Linked DNA regions of Nothobranchius furzeri. The protein of the gene in region 2 purifies or fractionates together with the protein of the main gene of each other region. This does not show direct contact. Links are inferred from orthologs where the notes say so. Each region holds a gene or a part of one and is shown on either strand. Other genes may lie near its edges.

Evidence for each region. Proteins that work in one complex are often made in the same cells at the same time.
Region 1: the proteins of irak1 (region 2) and peli3 purify together in Homo sapiens (affinity purification with western blotting; 7 studies listed by BioGRID and IntAct, with this or other methods). This does not show direct contact. The link is inferred for Nothobranchius furzeri from reciprocal best matches to the Homo sapiens genes IRAK1 and PELI3.

What each region holds. Positions count from the first base shown.
Region 1 is NC_091743.1:86,669,485-86,673,236, forward strand, and holds the start of peli3 (E3 ubiquitin-protein ligase pellino homolog 1), read left to right. Parts: upstream 1-1,501; 5' UTR 1,502-1,659; exon of another isoform or gene 1,660-1,697; intron 1,698-1,858; exon of another isoform or gene 1,859-2,031; intron 2,032-3,752. UniProt on the Homo sapiens protein: E3 ubiquitin ligase catalyzing the covalent attachment of ubiquitin moieties onto substrate proteins. Involved in the TLR and IL-1 signaling pathways via interaction with the complex containing IRAK kinases and TRAF6.
Region 2 is NC_091755.1:47,789,760-47,793,466, forward strand, and holds the start of irak1 (interleukin-1 receptor-associated kinase 1), read right to left. Parts: upstream 2,913-3,707; 5' UTR 2,024-2,912; coding exon 1,912-2,023; intron 1,059-1,911; coding exon 891-1,058; intron 429-890; coding exon 327-428; intron 1-326.

The DNA.
Region 1 (3,752 bases), on a different chromosome or scaffold from region 2:
TGCCCAAGAATGAGCTGAGATCGAACTGGACACCCTAAGATTTCTGGACAGCCCACTCTTCCTCCTGAGCTACTGCTGCCCCTCTGTGCAGAAGTTATAAGTAGTCCCTGTGTCAGCTGTTCATGGCTGCCCGAAAGGCCTCCGTTCAGAGAAATAGCTTGTGTCCTTCAGGAAGGAAAGCTGTAGCAGCTAGTCTGAGCTAACGGCTAATTGGGGTGCAGCTATGGCCAAATATATTCCCGCAATTAGCTCCAGTCTCTGAGTCGCATGCTGCTGGATTTGGTGACGCTGCTGCCTCACGGCAAGATGGTTGCTAGTTCAAATCCCAGTTAAAATGTTCTTCCCCACGTGTATGCACGTCTCTTTGGGGCCGAAAGCGCTTTGGAGTCCTCTGACTGTACAAGTGCGGGCCGTTTAGCATTCATTTGGGTAGAAGCTACATAAAAATGAACGAACAAACAACAACAAGCATATTTATCACAGAGGATCATGGGACATCAGTTTAGAAGCGGCCACGCTGCGGTCAGTCCCTCTAGACTGGGTTATTTTCATGGATCTCTGTGATTTCTTGCATGGAATTGAGTTGTTTGTGTGGATTTCTGTGCTTCTGTCTCCAAGCGCCTAACGAGCCGTGTGTCTCTGTTCCTCAGCTGGACGAGGAAGCCGTGGCCTCCATGTTGGCAGATTTTGTTGCGTGTCCTCCTGATGATGAAGATGTCGCCACGGGATCTAATGGCTGAAGAAACCCTCTCCTCCCCAGGAGGCAGTTCTTCTAGAAAACCAACTCTGGTCTCATTTCCAGTTTTACTTTATTAAAAGACTTTTGTCGTGCTGAACGTTGTTCTGGATGTTTTTTGAGCCGGTGGTCCACCTGTTACACGATAAACACGTGGAGCTTGGAAGCCAGTAAAAGTCAGACCTGCAGCATCTCGCAGTAACCCGAAGCTCTGACCGGAGCACGTGGCTTCCTGTTTACGGCGTGTCTCTGCGGTAAATGTGTTTGTTGGGATCTGAATGTATCCATGATGGGTTTTTTTTCCCATGTTTTGTGCTTTAGTATAAAAATTGAATAATGACTGAGTGGATGGTTTTTAGATGCATCTGGTTCTGAGTGCTGCAGGTAAGTGTGGCTCTTACACACACACACACACACAAGCTGAATCCATAAACGGGCCTGGTCAGCTGCTCTGAAGCTCAGATGTTGTAATGAAGCCATGTTTTCTATTCCGTGAACTCACCATCGCTGATTCACACCGTCATCAACTTCAACCCTAACCAGGTGAAGCAGAACATAGAAACCGATCTGGTACCAGTTGGTGGTGCTGGTTCGGGTGTGATGGATGGTTTATAATTCGAAACTGATGATGATGATGATGCTGTCACGATCCGGTACCGGGGCTGAAAGCTGCCTTTGGACCCCCTGATCGTGTAGGGGACCAGAAGGTGGGAGGAGATGTGGCCGCGTCACCGGGCTGTCTGCTGACATCAGGACGTGTCTCAGGGAGGGAGGGGTGGGACGTGGCCACGCTCTTCTCCGCCTCTCGTTCCTCTTGCTGGTACCCTTAATGGATCCCGAACCGTGCGGGAACTGACGGAGCCCACAGCGGGAACCTGGGAGAACCAAGCCGTTGCTGGACCTCTCCTGGCAGACATCAGCAGGTAAAGCTGCTCCTCCATCAGCATCCGGGGAGGAGGAGGTGGGTGGAGGCTCTAATGGTGCTTATACCAGCCGCTGTAAGGCTTCTAGACGGGAGGATGCTCTGTGTGTGTGTGTGTGTGTGTGTGTGTGTGTGTGTGTGTGTGTGTGTGTGCACCGAGCCCGTGCGCACGTCACTAACAGCCATGTTTTCTGATGAAGAGGGACCGAGGCGCGTCTCCGGTCAGACCCGTTAGGGGTAAAGCTCGGGAACCGCAACAACCGGGCTGACGAGCGATGGCTGATCTGGAACCAGTCCAGCCTCCGTAGCGCATTACCGGACCGGTGTGAGGCTTCTAGACGGTTCCAGGCTGGTCTGCACTGTCTGATTAAAGGTGGGTCCGTGTTCCGATCCAACACTGATGAGCGTGCCGTCTGGGCTCAGGCTCGGTTCGGTCTCGTGGTTTGGCTGGGTGGATGTGGATCGCAGGACGCGTGATGAACCTGAACTCACCCTGATCATAAACCATCTAGTGCTGCAGAGACGACACCACGTGGTGCGTTCAGTGTCCTCCAGCATCAGTCGGTAAATGGGGATTTTCCTGCGCGTAGAGGTCGTGAAGACATTGCCTGGGGGTCACGTGGTTACTAATGTCCATTCCCCTTAAACTCAGCAGATGTTTCAGGGTTAGTGCTGAAATCCAAACTGATGCCTCTATCGGTCAGTAGTCCGCCCGGGGTGGCGGAGGTCCCTTGGTCCATAGGCTCTGGCTGAGTTGGTTGCTCTGCAATGGACATCAGGGGGGATCCATCAGGTCTGCTGTTTCCAGATGATGTGGTCCTGGTGGCTTCATCACATTGTGATCTCCAACTTTGCTGGAGCGGTAAACTAGTACACCTTTTAGTACACTACAAGCACTAAGTACTTAGCATACTTGTTATCCTTAATGAAATGAACCTCAACATTTAGCTCAGGATGTTAACCAGGGATTGTGCCAGGCATGTGGAAGACGGGTGGGCACTCCACTCCTTTGAGTCACTTTGAACTGAACAAACGCCTGGCTCAGCAGGTAACACCAGGTGTATCAGGCAGATGTTAGGGCAGAGGTAGTAAGGGAGGCAGGAAGACCCAGACTGTTGGTTTCCCTCTGAACGGAGACGTTACAGCAGCAGAAGTGTCGGACCTCACCGAGTTTTCATGCAGAGTTTACACTAAGACGCGACGCTGTCGGGGGAAGCTCACTCTCTCCGTGTCAGAAATACGAGTCGTTTAAAACCAGTTTGCATTATTCAGTGTACTGAAACCGTCGCCTGCATCCATCTGGGACAGCGCGCGGTTCAGCTTCCACCAGTCCTCTCGTTTGGTGTCACGCTACAACAAACCATTCTTCCAGACTTTACGGAGCGGATGTTGCCACACGGATCTTTGGATTTGGTGTTTCTGATGAAGCAAAACACGTAAAAACACACTTTTGTTATCATGGCCTTTGTGCTTATCAGCAGCCCTGATTATTAGCATCACATGCTAACTCTGGTCTGTGAGGAACCACAGAGCCGGACTAGTGATGTGTTTGTGCTGATGTGCTCTGTTTTCTGTACAACACACCAGATCCTGCACAGTTTCATCTTTTTGTATTTGGTCTCCTTTAACCTGAGTTCTTGGCCTGTTGTCTGGTGGTGCGCTCACCCCCACAGTGGCTCTGGAACCCGTCCTCTCTGCAGGAGGTCAGGAGACAAATGGGCTTCTTGCTCGTCTTAGAGACTCTTTTCCTGTAGAGTGCGGGTTAGCTCTCCTGTATCTTCAGTATCTGACTGTTATTTGCCCCTATGTGTCAAACTGCAGCTATTTTTGGAAAACCCGCGCCAAGTGATGGACAATCCGAGGACTCTAGTCTCCATAGTCCAGCTGGGGGGATTCTGAAGTGGGCAATGACAGTGAGACCTGGATTACTATGGCGCGGTATGGGGGCCAAAATTAAGACTACTGCCCAGCAGCAGGAGGCTATATAAATTCTGAAGCAAACTACTGATCTGATTGATGATAAGCTGGCACCGGTAACTGAGAGGCGCTGCTTGCTGAGGAATAGCACCTTTACCGGCGTTATTACTAGATATG
Region 2 (3,707 bases):
ATTCACCCATTCACACACACATTCACACACTGGTGGGGATGAGCTACGATGTAGCCACAGCTGCCCTGGGGCGCACTGACAGAGGCGAGGCTGCCGAGCACTGGCGCCGCCGGTCCCTCTGACCACCACCAGCAGGCAACGTGGGTTAAGTGTCTTGCCCAAGGGCACAACGACAGCGACAGACTGAGCGGGGCTCGAACCTGCAACCTTCCGATTACGGGGCGAGCACTTAACTCCTGTGCCACCGTCGCCCCAATGATGATGATGATGGAAAACAGATGGAGAACAGCTGATCAGAGCAATGGGCAGGCTTGTTTTGGGTCTACCTGTGGGCTGCTCATACGGTGGAGGAGAAGGGAGACGAGGAGGAGGTGGCGGAGGAGGAAGAGGAGGAGGAGCAAAGGAGGAAGGATTCATCGCCTGAGTCCCTGCAGACATAAGAAGGGGTGAACATTCTTCTAATATGGAGCCTAAGTCACGTCCATCTACTTCCGGACCATGGGAGGAACGAAAAAATGAATGCACGTTATGCTAATTACGACCTTCCCCTCTGTGTTGGACAAGCCCAGTCACTGACTCGGTTCGAGTCGCTGCTGACATCCTTCTTTCTACCACCGTACAGCACTTTGGTCAGCTGCTGCACGGCGCTTTAAACGTGCTTTATGAATAAACCTGGTGCGGTACGATCGACCTCCACGTACGTGACAGGCGTGGTCGAAACACACTTCATTGCTTTTCATTTAAATTGCAGGACAACGTGTGCGATCCAGGGCGTGAGGCAAAGCGACTTGCATTCATTTTTTGGTTCTTTCGGAGACCCGTGAGCCGACCGGAGAGGGAGGAGACTTGGGCTCCCTGTATATAGGGTCAGAGGTCAGAGGTGTACTTACAGGTCAAGATGACATCTCGTGGCCTAAAAAGCTGCAGCGACTCTAACAAGTCAATCAGCTCTCCAACTCGACCGTTCCTGCATCCCCATTGGTTCATCACCCAGTCGGTCCGCTGGGCCTGCCTCTCAGCCAGTCGCACAGCCGTCTGGTCTTTCAGCACCTCCGAGGCTGCAGACAGAACGGTAAATGGTCTGTATTTGATATCGCGCCTTCTAGAGTCCTGGAACCCCTCAAGGCGCTTTACAACACAACCAGTCATTCACCCGTTCACACCCTGGTAGGGATGAGCTATGATGTAGCCACAGCTGCCCTGAGGCACACTGACGGAGGCGAGGCTGCCAAGCACAGGCGCCGCCGGTCCCTCCGGCAGGCAGGGGGGTTAAGTGTCTTGCTAAAGGAGCGACAAACTGAGCGGGGCTCAAACCTGCAACCTTCTGCAATCTCCTGTGCCACTGTCACCTCACTCAAGGGAAGGATTTGAGAATGTTGTGGAGCTGCTTCATCCCGAGTGGAGTCTCAGGGGAAAGAATGGAATAAATTCCATTGCCGTCTGGTCAGTTTAAATAAATATGTAAATATTTAGAAGATTTAATTAAATTTACCGCATTAAAAATAAAATTCTGTTAAGACTGCAGCAGAATATTCACGGGGAATGGAAAGCTGTGCAAATGAGACATGAATGAGTGAAAACCCGAAACTGGAAATAAGAAGTAACTAAATGCAGCAGGAATGTTTAACAAGTCACTGGGACAGGTGTGACGTTTGAACCAGGTGAGAGGCGGGGCTACACCTGCTCCACAACGGGCAAAAATCACAGCCAAGCTTCTCCGGGTCAACCCTGGGAGGGGGTGCGTGGGGGTCCTGTTTGTCGCTCCAGGTGTGGGCGGGGCCACATGACAGCAGAACAATCAGCTGAGACACTTCAAAGCAGACCGTCGCCCGCAGCACGTGACTCTGGTCAGGTGTAGATTGATACGGATCCAGGGGACCTGTTTGTCGAGTGTTCTAGAGGGGAACTCACCGAACCGGGTCCAGTCCAAGTCCGACAGTCCGTCCATGACTCGGCAGAACTCCCAGTTGACGGGAGAGGGAAGTTTGAATAGGAACTGTTCTCGTCGGAACCCTCCCGCCATTTTTGCTCGAGAACCGAACTCCTCCACTTTACAGAACCGAGTGGGTCACATCAGAACCAGGTTGAAAAACAACTCTTAACAAACCCGAAAGTTTCTCTTCACCTTGTACTTCCGCTTATTGAGGAAACCAGCCCACTGGAAGGCGACACGCTTCCGGTGGGCCTGACAAAATAAAAGCCCCCCAAGACTTTTTTTTCCTTTACTGGTTGGATGTGTTTTTCAAATGTAAGCCTATTGGTGATAAACAACCCACCATTTATAATTCATTAAATGAATGTTTTTGTTTTTAGATGAGAGTGTAATATCTGGGTTTCTGCTGTAGCTGCTGCTGTCCAGTAGGGGGCAGTGACAGCAGTAGGAAAATACGCTCGTCAATACTAAGCAACTTTTTCATTTTTTTAAACAATTTGTCTTGAAATTAGTCTGTGCTAAAATTACACTTTAAATAAAAAATGGCCCCCTAAGGTGCTTTACAACACAATCAATCATTCAAACATTCACACAAGCACATTTGGGGGGTGGAGGTCAGAACACGGGTTGCTCCACTAGATCAAGATGTTAAAAGCACACAGCAGAACTAGCACCATTCCTGAGTCGATGCCATCTTTGTAGTTTTTCTCCATCATAGCTCTGGTGCTGAGGCCATCCAATAAACATAGAGTGATGTGAATTGCAAGAAGCAAAACTCTTCAGGCCAGTGGTAGATCTGCTGAGGCTGTCATGTAGTGTGGCCAGACCGACCTGCAGAGCCAAGTCTTTTGCCACTACTACCATTAGATCGATTTCTAGGCAAATGCAGGGAAAATGAAAGTGAATATGCCTCTTCAGTAATTTTGTTGAATCCATGTTCTTTTCGCTAACATTTCTTTGAACATGTTTGGTCTGATTTATGAAGATTAAGTGTGAGTGCTTTCACAGATGTGTATATTTCATAATTCTGTTGCCAATCTGAACAAAATATGTGTTGAGATAAATTAAGGGAATAAAACAATCAGGAAAAAGACAAATCACTTGAACTAAATGACTGGAAATGAAACTGCTTTATTGTCTGTCCCAGAGGTGACAGAAGTTCTGCCTCATGAATAACATAGTACAACATAAGCCACGATGGAGAATACGGGCAGCAGGTCCATCAGGACTGTCCAGCTGATGTTATGTCACATGGTGGTCCAAAATACCTTCTAGGTTTCCAAATCACCCTTAATTATGCATGCCCCAACCCTCTTCCGAATCTGCCATTATAAATGTTGGTAGAAGTAATGCTGAACCGCAGAGCTACTGCAAACGCTAACCTGAGCTACAGCTAACGTCCTTGTTGGACAAGAGGAAAACAACAAAGAAGAAGAATGTCAGAGCACACAATGTCCAGGAAGTTCTGGGAATATCCAGACTATGAATAAATGCCAGATAGACCGATAGTTCCCCTATTAAGTTATCTGGATACTGGACACAGAGGATGTTTCTCAATGTCAAGGCGCCTGGCCTTGCGAGGCGATGTCTTGTGAGGCCAGGCGCCTTGCTTACGAGGACACGGTCCTTCCTTGGTCAAAGAAAACGGTTAAATGGAACAGACTTGCATCACGTGACCGTGGCTTCCATGGCGGTCACGTAACGTCACGTGACACGGGAGATGAGGTCATATTTTATATGTATTAGTTTCAATATAAATATATAACGAGATATG